Xenopus tropicalis: one gene and its partner. The protein of the gene in region 1 interacts with the protein of each later gene in a pairwise test. Links are inferred from orthologs where the notes say so. Each region holds a gene or a part of one and is shown on either strand. Other genes may lie near its edges.

Region 1 (6,975 bases):
CTTGATAAAGATATCCTAATCCTCCTTCTGGGGAAACCTTCCAAACAATTCTCAAAATCTACACAAAAACTTGTCAACCAGATACTCTCAGCCACCTGCATCTCCATAGCAGCTAAATGGAATTCCCATGCATTCCCTCTATCCTAGAAATAAACGGAAAAATCAATAATACCATGCAATTTGAATACAGACTGGCCCGTATACAAAACAAAATACCCAGTATGTTAAAATCTGGTCTCCCTGGGATCTTCTCTCCAACATGACCTAACTACAAAACAGGGCACTTAGATGCAGTGAATACCAGTCAACCCCAGTTTTCTCTTTGTACCTTTTCCCCCTATTTCTCCCCTCCACCTGTATCTATCAGTCTCTAAAACCTGGTATGCACAGTACAACACAAATCTGATGGCACAACCAGTCAGGCATAAACCCTATTTGTGTAGAATGTGTAGACTAACAAAAGATAACTATATGAACCGAACCATACTGTTACTATGTTGATTTTTATAAGAACGACTGTATAAGCTGTACATTTACTGTTTGCTTTCTTTTTGAAAAAATAAAATTATAAGTTACAACAAAAAAAAATCAGTTAGGCAGCCCCCAGTGATTATAATAACTTACCTGATACCCCGGGTGGGTGCTTATGAGTAGCAGAAAACTGCAACAGCCTGGCGTACTTCTGTAAGTGCTCTGTGCAGTGATCTTCTTCTATAGGTTCTTCTTGTGCAACTTTTTAGAAAATGTATGTAGCATGATAGGGTTGCTCCTAACAAGCATCAAATGAAACATCATGGTATTGACTTTTAAATAAATGTGCTAATGTATATTTTTTTCCACTTCATAAAATCTGCTCTGATATTATTGTTGGGTTGTTACTGAGCACAGAAGGACACAAATAGGTTCCTGGGCCTAATTCAGTCATAACCTGGCTTAATGTGGGCATACTGTACACAGTCAGTAAGTCAGTAAGGTTTAAGAATCCTGTTGGATAAGGAGTGCATCAGGGTGTTGATGTGGTCCTGTCCCAAGATCTTGCTGTGCATGGCCAGTTTAAGTTTGTGATTCAACAAGTGTTTTCATTCATCTTACCTGCCTATGTGGGTAGTGGGTTGGCTCCTACCAGAAACTCTGAAAACCACTACCAAAGAGAATCCAGTTTTGAGCTGAAATTCGCTGTTTTGCTAGCTGTACTATAATTTTACTATCTTGCCCAGTTGTACTACTTGATGGGGGGAGGCAGGCCAGCTTTCCCCACCCAAAATCATCTTCCGCAATGCCTGGGCCAGACTATGCCATCAAATGTTTAGGGGAAGACTGTGCCTTGAAATGCTTGGGGACACAGTATGTCAAGAAGGAACAGCGAATAGACAGTGTGTATATCATAAACTGCTGGAGTACCTAATGCTTCATTACTCCGGATGATTACAAAGTAGGCAAAACCAAAATTTGTGCCAAATCATGTCCCTCTATTTGTGTTTCTGTGTCCCTTTACTTTTTTATATTTAAGGTCCCCATACACAGGCCGATTCTAGCTGCTGATATCAGTCCCTTAAAACGATTCGGCAGTTAATCGGCCCATGTATGGGCACTACCGACGGTCCTGTCCGACCGATATCTGGCCTGAAATCGGCCAGATATTGATCGGGCAGGTTAAAAAATCTAGTCGGATCGGGGACCGCATTGGCTCATCCGCAATCCCCAGGGCCAAACGATTGAATTAGCCTGGATTCTCCCGATATTGCCCACCCGTAGGTGGGGGATATCGGGAGAAGATCCACTCGCTTGGCGATGTCTGAAGGTGTATGGGGACCTTTACACTCAACCAAAGTTCTGTCAAGTTTAAAGGCTAGTGCACACAACAAATGGTTTGCATAAAGAATTTTGCATTTATGCTGACCTGAGCACATTTCAAAATGTGTGCACAAAAAAATGTTTGCGCAAATATCTGAAAAGGAATTAGGAGCATTGCACTCAACCACAACATAGCCAATCAAGATATCTCCCACAATAAATGTGCAAGCTATAGCTCTTTCAGGTATTCTGCCCCTCTCATCTGTTGCCTGGTGTGTGCCCATTGCCCCTTCCTGCCCCCCAAATTAAAGATAGTGCCACTTAAATAAGGGCCAATTCCCCCATCACTGTTTTTAAATACATCCTGAACAGATTCTTGCAGCATTTAGTTTATAAGGATATCATGTTATAAATAGCATTTAACTTCTTTCTGAAGACTTTTTTTTAAGTGAAAACTATAAGCCCCTGTAGATAGAACACCCTGTGTCTCAACCCTTTCTCTTGTAAGCTCTTCACCTCTTGTATCGGTTATTGCTTGCTTTATATGTTACTCTGTAAGTCCAATGTATGAAACCCACTTATTGTACAGCGCTGCGGAATATGTTGGTGCTTTATAAATAAATGTTAATAAATAATAATAGAATGATGACAGAAAAGAGACTGTCCTTATGCTTATCCAGCCATAGAGTTGGGCATAGGAATAGAATACAGATATGCTGATGGATGGGTAGGTTTAGGCAGACAGAGCTACAAGAGCCCCTTTCCTCACACACACAATCCTTGTCTGCCTCCTTCCCTCAGGTGGTAGCTGCCCGCTCTCTGTGGGCGGGAAGGAATTGGCGGGAAAGGAGGGGTCGGAGGAGCAAGGGATGGCAGAAGGAGACCTATATATCTCTGTGTGCGCTCCATCAGCTAGATTCCATAGTCTGGGAGGTAAAAAGGAGGAATCTCCGCAAATGCTTTTAATATACAAGACGCAACAAGATTCTACCAGAGAGAGCTGGGAGGGGAGCCTGCGGCTCATGTAGTGGGCTGAAGGAGGAGGCCACCGCGCTTCTCCTACCCGCCCAACCCCTCATCTCACCTTTATGGACGAGCACCTCAGTCTCCTGCATTCGCCTCCTCCATCCTCCACCAGACACAGAACCAACTCGAACATAGTTAACCCAGGCTACACGGACTTGGAGCAGGAGATCATGACTGTGGTGGCGTGTGATAACATCCTGGAGGAGGCGGCTGCCCTGCCGGGGCACCACTCTAGCGAAGCCTACGAGCAAGAGGACCATGAGTGCTGTGAGAGGGTAGTGATCAATATATCCGGCCTTCGCTTTGAGACCCAGCTGAAGACTTTAGCCCAGTTTCCCGACACCTTGCTCGGCGACCCCAAGAAAAGGATGCGATACTTCGATCCCCTGCGGAACGAATACTTTTTTGACAGGAACCGCCCCAGTTTCGATGCCATCCTTTACTACTACCAGTCGGGCGGCAGGATCAGGAGACCGGTGAACGTTCCCATAGACATTTTCTCAGAAGAGATCCGCTTCTACGAGCTGGGGGAAGAAGCCATGGAGAAGTTCAGAGAAGATGAGGGCTTTATCAGGGAAGAGGAGCGGCCGCTTCCCCCCAATGAATTTCAGAGGCAGGTATGGCTTCTTTTCGAGTACCCTGAGAGCTCCGGACCTGCCAGGGGTATCGCCATCGTCTCCGTCCTGGTGATCCTTATTTCCATTGTCATCTTCTGCCTGGAAACGCTGCCCGAGTTCCGAGACGACAAGGAATACAGCGGAACGGCTCTGCCCCCTGGCAATGGCACCGGCCCGTACATCAGCAGCTCCTTCACCGACCCGTTCTTCGTGGTGGAGACCCTGTGTATCATATGGTTTTCATTCGAGCTGCTGGTCAGGTTCTTCGCTTGCCCGAGCAAAGCCACTTTCTGTAAGAACATTATGAACATTATAGACATAGTGGCCATCATCCCTTACTTTATCACCCTGGGGACTGAGCTGGCTGAGCGCCAAGGAAACGGGCAGCAGGCGATGTCGCTGGCAATCCTCCGAGTCATTCGGTTGGTCAGAGTCTTTCGGATCTTCAAGCTTTCCAGGCATTCCAAAGGGCTGCAGATCCTGGGGCAGACACTGAAGGCCAGCATGAGGGAACTGGGGCTGCTCATCTTCTTCCTTTTTATCGGAGTCATCTTATTCTCCAGCGCAGTCTACTTCGCAGAGGCTGATGACCCTTCTTCTGGGTTTAATAGCATCCCGGACGCCTTTTGGTGGGCGGTGGTCACCATGACTACTGTGGGATACGGTGATATGCATCCTGTCACCATTGGGGGAAAGATTGTGGGCTCTCTGTGTGCCATTGCCGGGGTGTTAACAATCGCCCTGCCGGTGCCTGTCATCGTCTCTAACTTCAACTATTTCTACCATCGGGAGACGGAGGGAGAGGAGCAGGCTCAGTACCTGCACGTAGGGAGCTGCCAGCACCTGTCTTCCAATGAGGATCTGAAGAAGGCACGGAGCAACTCCTCACTGAGCAAATCAGAGTATATGGTCATAGAGGAAGGGGTCAGCCCGGGGCCCTTTAAACAGCCGGCCTTCAAAACGGGCAACTGCACAACAAACAACCCAAACTGTGTGAATATCAAGAAGATCTTTACCGATGTGTAACTGCGAGACACTTGTTGCCAAGTGAATACATCAACAGCAACTAGAAAAGTCACTGTAGCATCGGCATCAGCGTGTTCCTCTCATTGTTTCTTTTCTGAGCGCTTCCACCTAAATACACGGTGCCGGCAGCCTGGTGTGGGGCTGGTGTGGGGCTGGTGTGGGGCTGGTGAGCGACAGCCAGCGATTCAGCTGCTGTTTCGGGGAGCTGCCATCTATCGCCTTTATTTTAACATTCTGCAAGAAAGCGGGAGCGGGTTGCTAAGTCTTACATTTTCTCTCAATTAAGTGCTGCTGCTTAGCTCTTAAATATCAGTGCATAAGGAACACCACCTTATTGCTAATTACTTCTCAGGCATCCTTCTGAGGGCAATATGATTCAATTTAACCATTCTTATTTGGCTCCTGCTTACAATGTTTTTTTTTTTAAAAAAAGATGAAGTCCTTAATCCCTGCAGAAAAATCGCATTGTTCTGTTCTATTTTTTTATGACAGAACAGCACAGATGTTTCTGCTTTAATGTATAAGTAGATCAACACTCAGTAAAAAATTTGTTTAAAGCTGCTTTTACATATTATAAAGTTGCAGTGAAACTGCATTTTTATGTCTATGATAGTGCCAAGCAGCATAACAAAATTCAGAATGTCCTTAGATTATGTTATGTGTAACAGGTCTACATGCCAGAAGATTAAACTGCTGGACTTGCTTTTCATCGGAAGTTACTAATTCTGACCCCAGTGATGCAGTTTCCATAGCAACAAAGGTTTCCTGGGAAACCCTATTCGTTGTCATGGTATCTCTTTAGTTCCCATAGCAACTATCCAGATGGCTCCAACTTACAGATATGCTGCTGCTGTTGGGAAAATGCTCAGAGAAAGTTAATCCCAGAGAGCTTTGCAAAATAGGTATGGAAATAAGAACGTCACCTGTGATGAAGGAAATGAATAATCATTTCTAGCCTCTTGTTGAAAAGTATAAAGTAATCTTCCAAAGAATTAACTGTGAGACAAAACAAATATGACTGTAATAAATCTACAAGGAAGGGTCTGCTGCAAAGGGTAAATCAAACTGAGTAAAATGATCACATAAAAATGACTTGAAAGAAAATAAGCAGTAGCATCTTAGAAAAAAGCACTTTATACATTTGAAAACACATCAGCACTTAACTATGTAAGGGAAGTGAACCAGCCTTATCAGGAAAAACAGACCATGGCAATTAGGGAATAACTGAAAGGCAACCTCAACTGGAAAATGCCACCCTTGTCTTATTCAACCCTTTCACCAAAGGAAGTGGTGCAACATAAAGGAAGGTGAGCCTTGTCAACATTTTGTTTGTGCTTTTATAAATACTAAATATGGCCCTAATATCTGAGGAATGGTTAGTATAATTGATTATCATGATAATCATTTTCTGCTGATTGCTCTGGTTACATAAAAATGACATAGGTTACACGTTTTGTCAAATATAGCTAAACAGATCTGGACATTTGCCCACATTATATCCCGCAGAACAAATGTAATATCCACAGTGCATTTAAATATTTTCCTTTTGAGAGCAGCTGCTTAAAATAATATGTCTTCTCTCATTTATTATCAGTAATAAATTATTTTATTCTTCAATAAGAACAGACACATTTATGCAGTGCTTTATACAGACTGTTCATTATTAATTTAAAATTGGTACCTTTCCCAATAGATCTCACAATCTAAGTCCATGTCACATTTACACATACACGGTTGGGTCAGTTTCACGTGAAAACAAATAATTGGCCTGTATGGCATTTAGAATAAGAGAGGAAACCAGAGTACCAGGGGAAATGCATGCAGACACAGGAAGAACATGCAGCCTCCTTGCATTGTGTCCAGATTGGAAACAAATTTAGGACTCCTGTTGCTACAAACCAGCAATGCTAACCACAGTAACCATCACAGTATGCTGATGATGAGAAAAGTTATGATGTATGGTATTATATAGAAAATCACAAATGTACATATATACTTTATATCCAAAAACACTGAAGAGTTTGTGAAACATAGAAAAACCCCACGCATTTAACTGGTTGTATCAGAATTATGTGGGGGATATAGCAGTTGGTTCCTATATTAAGCCATTAATGTAGTGTTTTTGCAGGACATTTCTTCACTAAGTGCTTTCAAAACTTTTTATTAGGTTTCAATAAATTCAGTTGGTGGGCTGCACTATTTTCAGCATGATTGCATTTTATTAAACTTATACTGACACATTCCTATAATTGATGGGAATGTATCTGCATCACTACTAAGTGAGGTCTATTTTTATTAATATTATTATTTTTTTAAAATATTTCCTAATCCACCAGAAGCCCGGCATTATTTACTGCTGCTGACAGCACTGGGCAGCGGGATCCTTCCTTAGCCTAAAGCAGCAGGTTATTTTATATGTAGACATCCTTTAGCCATTGCCCTTTTCTTCAGGGGTTTGTGTACAGGTACATATAGAGGAAAATATTTATTTTACTTTTACTCTACCTTTGCT
Region 2 (6,338 bases), on another chromosome or scaffold:
CAAAGACAACAAAAAGACAATGTTGTTGCAAAAAGGGTTTCATTTCTGGTTGCAGTATCTCTTTAAGAAAAATGGGCCTTCAGGATGCCACTGAATGGAAGAGAAGAGTCTGATTCTAGCAATAGACAAGAAAGCACAAAAGATGTAGAAAGAGGTTACTGGGGGATGAAGGAAGCATAAAGGCATCTATTTTGAAGGAGGATATTGCATGGCAGTGTTAAGAGCCTAAACAGGAATTAAGGATCTGGTTATTAGGGGCATGTCAGGAGATGGTTTTAGCAATGCTATGTAGACATGGAGATGGCTTAATGGATTTCTGAAAAGAGCAGGAGTCAAAATGTTAGGCATCCCTCAGTGAATTAAATCGCTACTGAACCTTTAAAATTAACTATATGAATTGATTTTTAAACTAAAGTTCCATTTAATGTGCTTTTTATGATCTGCCATTTAAACTATAATCTAGGTTACTAGGTCCAATCAGTGTTTTTTAACGTCACTATGAAAGATCAATAGACAAAGGCCTAAATAGTAAAAGACAGAATTTAAAATTAAAAAAAAAAATAATTGCAAAGTGCAAAGATCAAGCACCGTCAGTATATGTCTGTGGAGGGCCTACATTGCCCACTGCAGAATTATCACATCTGCTGACTGTACATAATTATGACTTTGTTTCTTATCATTTTATGCACTTCTTTTGCTTCTTCTGAATCAATTTTATTAACCTGAATAAATTATAGGAAAAATGTGTTTTGGAAGAAAACAAGGGAGAAGTAGGACACACTGTATATAAAAGACAAAAATTGTATTGTTCAGTGCTTGGCTTGTGGCAGAGGAAAACGGGAGGTTCCCAGTTGGCAACCAGATAAATGATGTGACAGAGAAGTATAACCTGAGGATGTCCAACTTTTGTAAAATATTTCTTGGCATCGCTAATCCTGTTTTGTAGACAAAATGGTTTCATCCCAAAGGTGTGTAAAGCTGGCTATACATAACCAGATCTGGTCAGGGAGTTTGGACGATTTTGACCACACTACCTAAACATCTAAATATGTCAGGTGGGGGGGGGATCTGAACTGGCCAGTTTGCAATCCTGTTGGTTGAAGATGGTCTCTCCAGTTTGACAGTATTTCATCTGCTCATGCCTATACCAAACCATTTTATTCATCATATTATGTTATTTAGATATGGGCCCTACAGCCCTAATTGTAATAGCACATCAGACGTTACAGAAAAAGTGTCCACCACATCTGACTTAACCCTGCCCTCTTCAAACCTGAACCTGCCCCAATCCGGCCAGCTGTAATTTTTTATATACACGTGCCTGCCCCTCTCTGATATAACTGAAGTCAGCAGGGAGGGGGGAGAGCATATATAAGAGCAACAGCAGGTGGGCAAAAGAGATAATGATGTCATGGGGGGAGGGGGGCGTGGGAATAGTTTGGCCCTCCATTCACCTGCCACAAGCAAAAAAAGTGATTGGCCTGCCCAAACTCACATCACTAGTCCATGGCTACCATCCATCAGAAAGAAGCAGGGGTATAGAATGCCTTGTCTGCTTGTCACCATTCTTAATGGTACTTAAAGGAAAGGGTCCTGACTGCATGCCTGTTATTGACTAAAATTAGGAGTGAGGTCTACAGTGGACTAGTGATGTGTGGGTCAGGAAATATTCAACCCAAAATGTTAGGTCGCTAATATAAAATAGATCACTAAGTGCTCCTGCTAGGAACCTGCGGAAAAAACTGGAGCGATGCATCAACATTTTACTCCACTTTCTACTGCGGCCCCAGGCATCCCCAGTGTTAATTCCTGTTCATGCAAGCGCAATAGTGCATACCCGAGATTTTACTCTACTGCGTATGTGCAGAATGCCAAGTGCCAAGGAAGGAGATGACAGTGTGGCACTCAATTTTTTCCACAGGTTCTTTCCTAAAAGGAGCACCAGCCTAGGGAAAAAAACTTAGCAATCTATTTCACTGGGGGGATGTAATGTCCAATATGTGAATAATGGCAAACATTGTGATTCTGAGCATTTTGTTTCCCACTATGCTCAAGCCCTATTTAAAGTGAATGGGAAGAGCATTTTAAGGATTTAGCATCTTCCCATAGTGCTACAGAGTGCAGGAAGGCAGTGTGCCATTAACCTTATGGGATCTGAATATCATTTGCAATGGAATAATACATAGTACAGGTATCGGACCTCTTATACGGAAACCCATTATCCAGAAAGTTCAGAATTACGGAAAGGCCATCTCCCATAAACTCCATTTTAAACAAAGAGTTCACATTTTTGAGAATGATTTCCTTTTTCTCTGTAATAATAAAACAGAACCTTGTACTTGTTTCCAAACTAAGATATAATTAATCTATATTGGAGCCAAAACAATCCTATTGGGTTTATTTAATGTTTAAATCATTTTTTTTTTAACAGACTTAAGGTAGGAGATCCGAATTACAGAAAGACCCCTTATCTGGAAAACCCCAGGTCCCAAGCATTCTGGATAACGGGTCCCATACCTGTACCATAACCATATACACTAGAGCTTTTGAAACAAACATATTTTCTTCAGTGCAGTGCAACAGTACATTACATTTAAATGTACTTAAAACCCTTGTTTTTGTATTTACTGGTCTGGCTGTGAGGGGATTTGGGGGTTATGGTTTGATTACAGCTGGAGGATTACAGAGCTACATTTACTGGTTCGCAACAGCGCTGAGCCCTTTGGTAGTCCAGTCGAATTGCAGCCGCTTTGTACAAAGGGCAGTGAGGGCTGCAGGAATGGAGGGCGCCCTCGGGTGTGGTGCGAAAGGAAACTTTCGGGGTGTGGCAGGGGGGTTGCCTGCCTGGGAGGGGTCCGAGGGGGATCGGAATCCCCTAGGAATGAGGAATATTCCCGATCCGATGACCCCTGCTGGAGAGAGTCCGTGCTGCGGTACAGAGGGGTGTGGTGTGGTGCATGGAGCCAGTTATAAGCCAAGCCTTAGTAGCACCGTGTGAGAGGAGTAAGCGCAGCTCTGTGCCACAGCTCTCACCCCCTATTCCCATCTATGGTGGCACTGCGCTAACGCTTGTCTTTTCTCTTCTTCGCTCTCGGCCGTCCCGCTCCCCCAGGGTGTGCTCTACACCACGCCGGTTATCAGAGAGCACGGCAACATCTACAAGCCCAATAACAAGACCATGGCAGGTGAGACCCTGATGGATACAGCTGCCCGGGACGTGCACACTAAGGAGATCGATCTGGTCAACAGGGACCCCAAGCACCTGAATGACGATGTGGTGAAGGTAAGACTGGAGTTATGTGCCATGTACTGACACTAGGTTAATGTGAGAAAGTTATATTGTTACATTGACTTGTGCCAGGGAGACGTCCCTTATCTCGGGGACTATAGACTTGTTCTGCACTTTAGGCCAGTGGTTTCCAAACTTTGGGGCTGGTCATGCTAGTGGGGCGTATTTGCTCTACTATATACTTTACTCAATAAAATAAATGTAAAGGTCATTTAGGGTGAGATTTGAAGTAAACTTATATTTGGTCTTTTGGATATTCTTGTAACTATGTTTTTATAGCAGATATAGCAATGTTAATATATAGCTTCCTTCAACGTTGTTATTATCTGGAGGGGGGTAACTGTGACCCCCGTAGAGTGAACCTGAAATGATCAAGTCCCAAAACCAGTGTATAGTGAGAGTATAGCATCCCAGTATTCACAATTCATATCATCCCATTCCAAATCATAGGAGCACAAGGAGATTTAGCACACTCTGTCGGTATAACATACACAGTGCTGATAAAGCACAGGCACATCATGCAGTTAGGGCTGAAGGGTTAAAGGGAAAGGTCCCCCTGTATGACAGGCAGCAGGCCATGTAAGTTGTGACATTTTTACACTTGGCTCATTTGTTTTCCCCTCTGAGCTTGGGAACAAAATGTTTGGAAAGTTGTCAGAGAGATGTTTGTGGTTTTTGGAAAGTGAGTTGGGAAGGCTTTAAGTGAATCCACCCTTTTTCTGTCATAGTCTTATTGGATATAATAGAGGATTTTGAGGCCCCTCCCTTAAATGACCAGGTGCTAAGGAAAAATGTTCCCTTAAATCTGGGCTGCACATACTGTACTCCAGAAATCCAATAAACCGCCATCCCTAGTATGATTCATTATATTTGCCCTCCAAGTTGTTTAATATTCTCTGGGACCAAGAACTCACAGACCTATGTCCTCATGTAACTAGCTCTCTTCTCATAATGCCAACATATCACTGCCAGGTATATAGGCCATATAGAATTGTGACCATGGGGAAGAATTTTAATGTCTTCTATAAAGATACATACATAGCAGTATCCCAACACCACCATTCCTACTCAATATCTGGTACCCACAGTTGTGAGTCTTGTGCTGTCCCACAAACATTTTGGTAAATTGTACAGTATGACTTGCACACATACAGTGTGGGCTACTACAATACAGTTGTACTTGCATGGTTGGCAACAGATACGTACGATGGGATTGGGGTAGAGTGCAATTTTGTGATTGATCTGTCGTTCTGTTCCACCATGGTTGACAACTGTATCATATTTCATTTAAAACCATTGCTAGTGTAAAGCTAGCTCTTTGAGGTTCACTCTGCTGTATAAGGAGCCCTGGTGTATGCTTCAGTTAACCTATTTTTTATATTAGGGGTAACTGGAGAATATACCACAGCTGCATGTCTTTTACAGCCCAAAGATGGGTGGGGTTTCCAAAACTTCATAGTTCAGCAGCAGACATGATCTAAGGTGCTAGTGAGAATTGCAGCAAATAAATGGCCTAGTGCATGTAAATTATTCATGTACCTTTATACATTGATGCTTACATGTCAATACAAATATACTAACAATTATAACAAATTATTAGTGCTAGGCATGGTGCAAAGTGCAAAAAATGGCACAAACTCTATGTTTCTTGGATGTTTGCACCCTGGGTGGGTGGTATTTGTGGCAGATCTGCAAACGGCTTGATGTAATTAAATATAGGGAAATATGGTTCAGGACCTAAAATAAACAGCTCAGTGTCATACTAACATGATGTAATTGCAACAGGATATGACTGAATTTAACAGCACCACAATCTACTAAAAATATGGACTAACTGGGCCAAGTCAAAAATTTAGAAAGTGGGGTTTTTGGCGCACCCTAAAATTACAGGGCCCATTATTTATGCCCTCGCCATATACTAATATCTACAGTTAGTATTAGTGGTTGTATATATAGTTTATGTATGGGAGTGTATAGATTGGTAGGTGTGGGTTGTGTGTGCTGGGTTTACTTGGATGGGTTGAACTTGATGGACTCTGGTCTTTTTTCAACCCTATGTAACTATGTAACTATTTGCTGCATTTTATACTGCATTTGCATTGCAGTTTATTGTGTACCACAAAGCTGCAACATGTGTTAATTGATCTCATTTTTCTTTATGTGTCCGTGACTGAGATCAAAGTTGAATACAGACAAAAAGGGACACATTCTACTTTTTTCAGTAGAGAGAGTGTAACAACCAGAAAGGAAGAATGAGTGCATTTAACTCATGCATTTCTAATGATTTATAACAGGCCTCACTGTAATGATAAAGAGATAATTATCCATATACATATCAGCATTCTAATTATTTAAATTATTTTGTGCAGTATCTATGTAAGCTCATAAAAAAGACTTAGGGGATGATTTACCAACTCCAAAAGAGTCAGTGGTAGCTTTAAACTAAACAGTTGTTTTAGTGTAGAAATTATACAAATTGATTTGACTCAAAATATTTCATGATTTCACACATAAAGTGTCAAATCATTTAAACTTTCCTGACTGTCAGGATATGGGTTTCTGCACCTTGGCAAACTTTGAGCCTTCATTACAAATGTGAGCATGAGTTTAAACCACATTCAACAGCTTTGCTAAACTTTCCAGTGGCTAGAAGCTCATGGTGCATACCCAATGGAAAAGGCCAGCAAACTTTATCCTGTGAGATCAAGGAATTTGCTTTGGGATATCCAAAGAAGTTAGTAAAATGAATAATGCAAACCACCTGCCGAGACAGTTGAGTGGAAAACATTGCACTGACACAACATACGCAGAATATGGTGTGACTTCCAAGCACAATTTGCAGCTGCATGGAAAGTATGAAGACGCTCCCACTCTGTCAGTGTGCTGAATCTGGTCACAAGTATATGGAAACTAAATGCACATAAATCAGCTATGAAAGATACAATAAACTTGGCATTGAACCTGCTCTGTAAGCATCACATTCCATGCTGCTAGGAGGGAAACACCTTCCAGGTTTATTTTTCATGCAATGATGTGAACTTGTCACCTT

Evidence for each region.
Region 2: the proteins of kcna3 (region 1) and cav1 come close enough for resonance energy transfer, tested with the Homo sapiens proteins (2 studies listed by BioGRID). The link is inferred for Xenopus tropicalis from reciprocal best matches to the Homo sapiens genes KCNA3 and CAV1.

What each region holds. Positions count from the first base shown.
Region 1 is NC_030678.2:52,493,383-52,500,357, forward strand, and holds the start of kcna3 (potassium voltage-gated channel subfamily A member 3), read left to right. Parts: upstream 1-2,568; 5' UTR 2,569-2,882; coding exon 2,883-4,463; 3' UTR 4,464-5,770; intron 5,771-6,975.
Region 2 is NC_030679.2:68,066,891-68,073,228, forward strand, and holds part of cav1 (caveolin-1), read left to right. Parts: intron 1-3,112; coding exon 3,113-3,283; intron 3,284-6,338. UniProt on the Homo sapiens protein: May act as a scaffolding protein within caveolar membranes. Forms a stable heterooligomeric complex with CAV2 that targets to lipid rafts and drives caveolae formation. Mediates the recruitment of CAVIN proteins (CAVIN1/2/3/4) to the caveolae.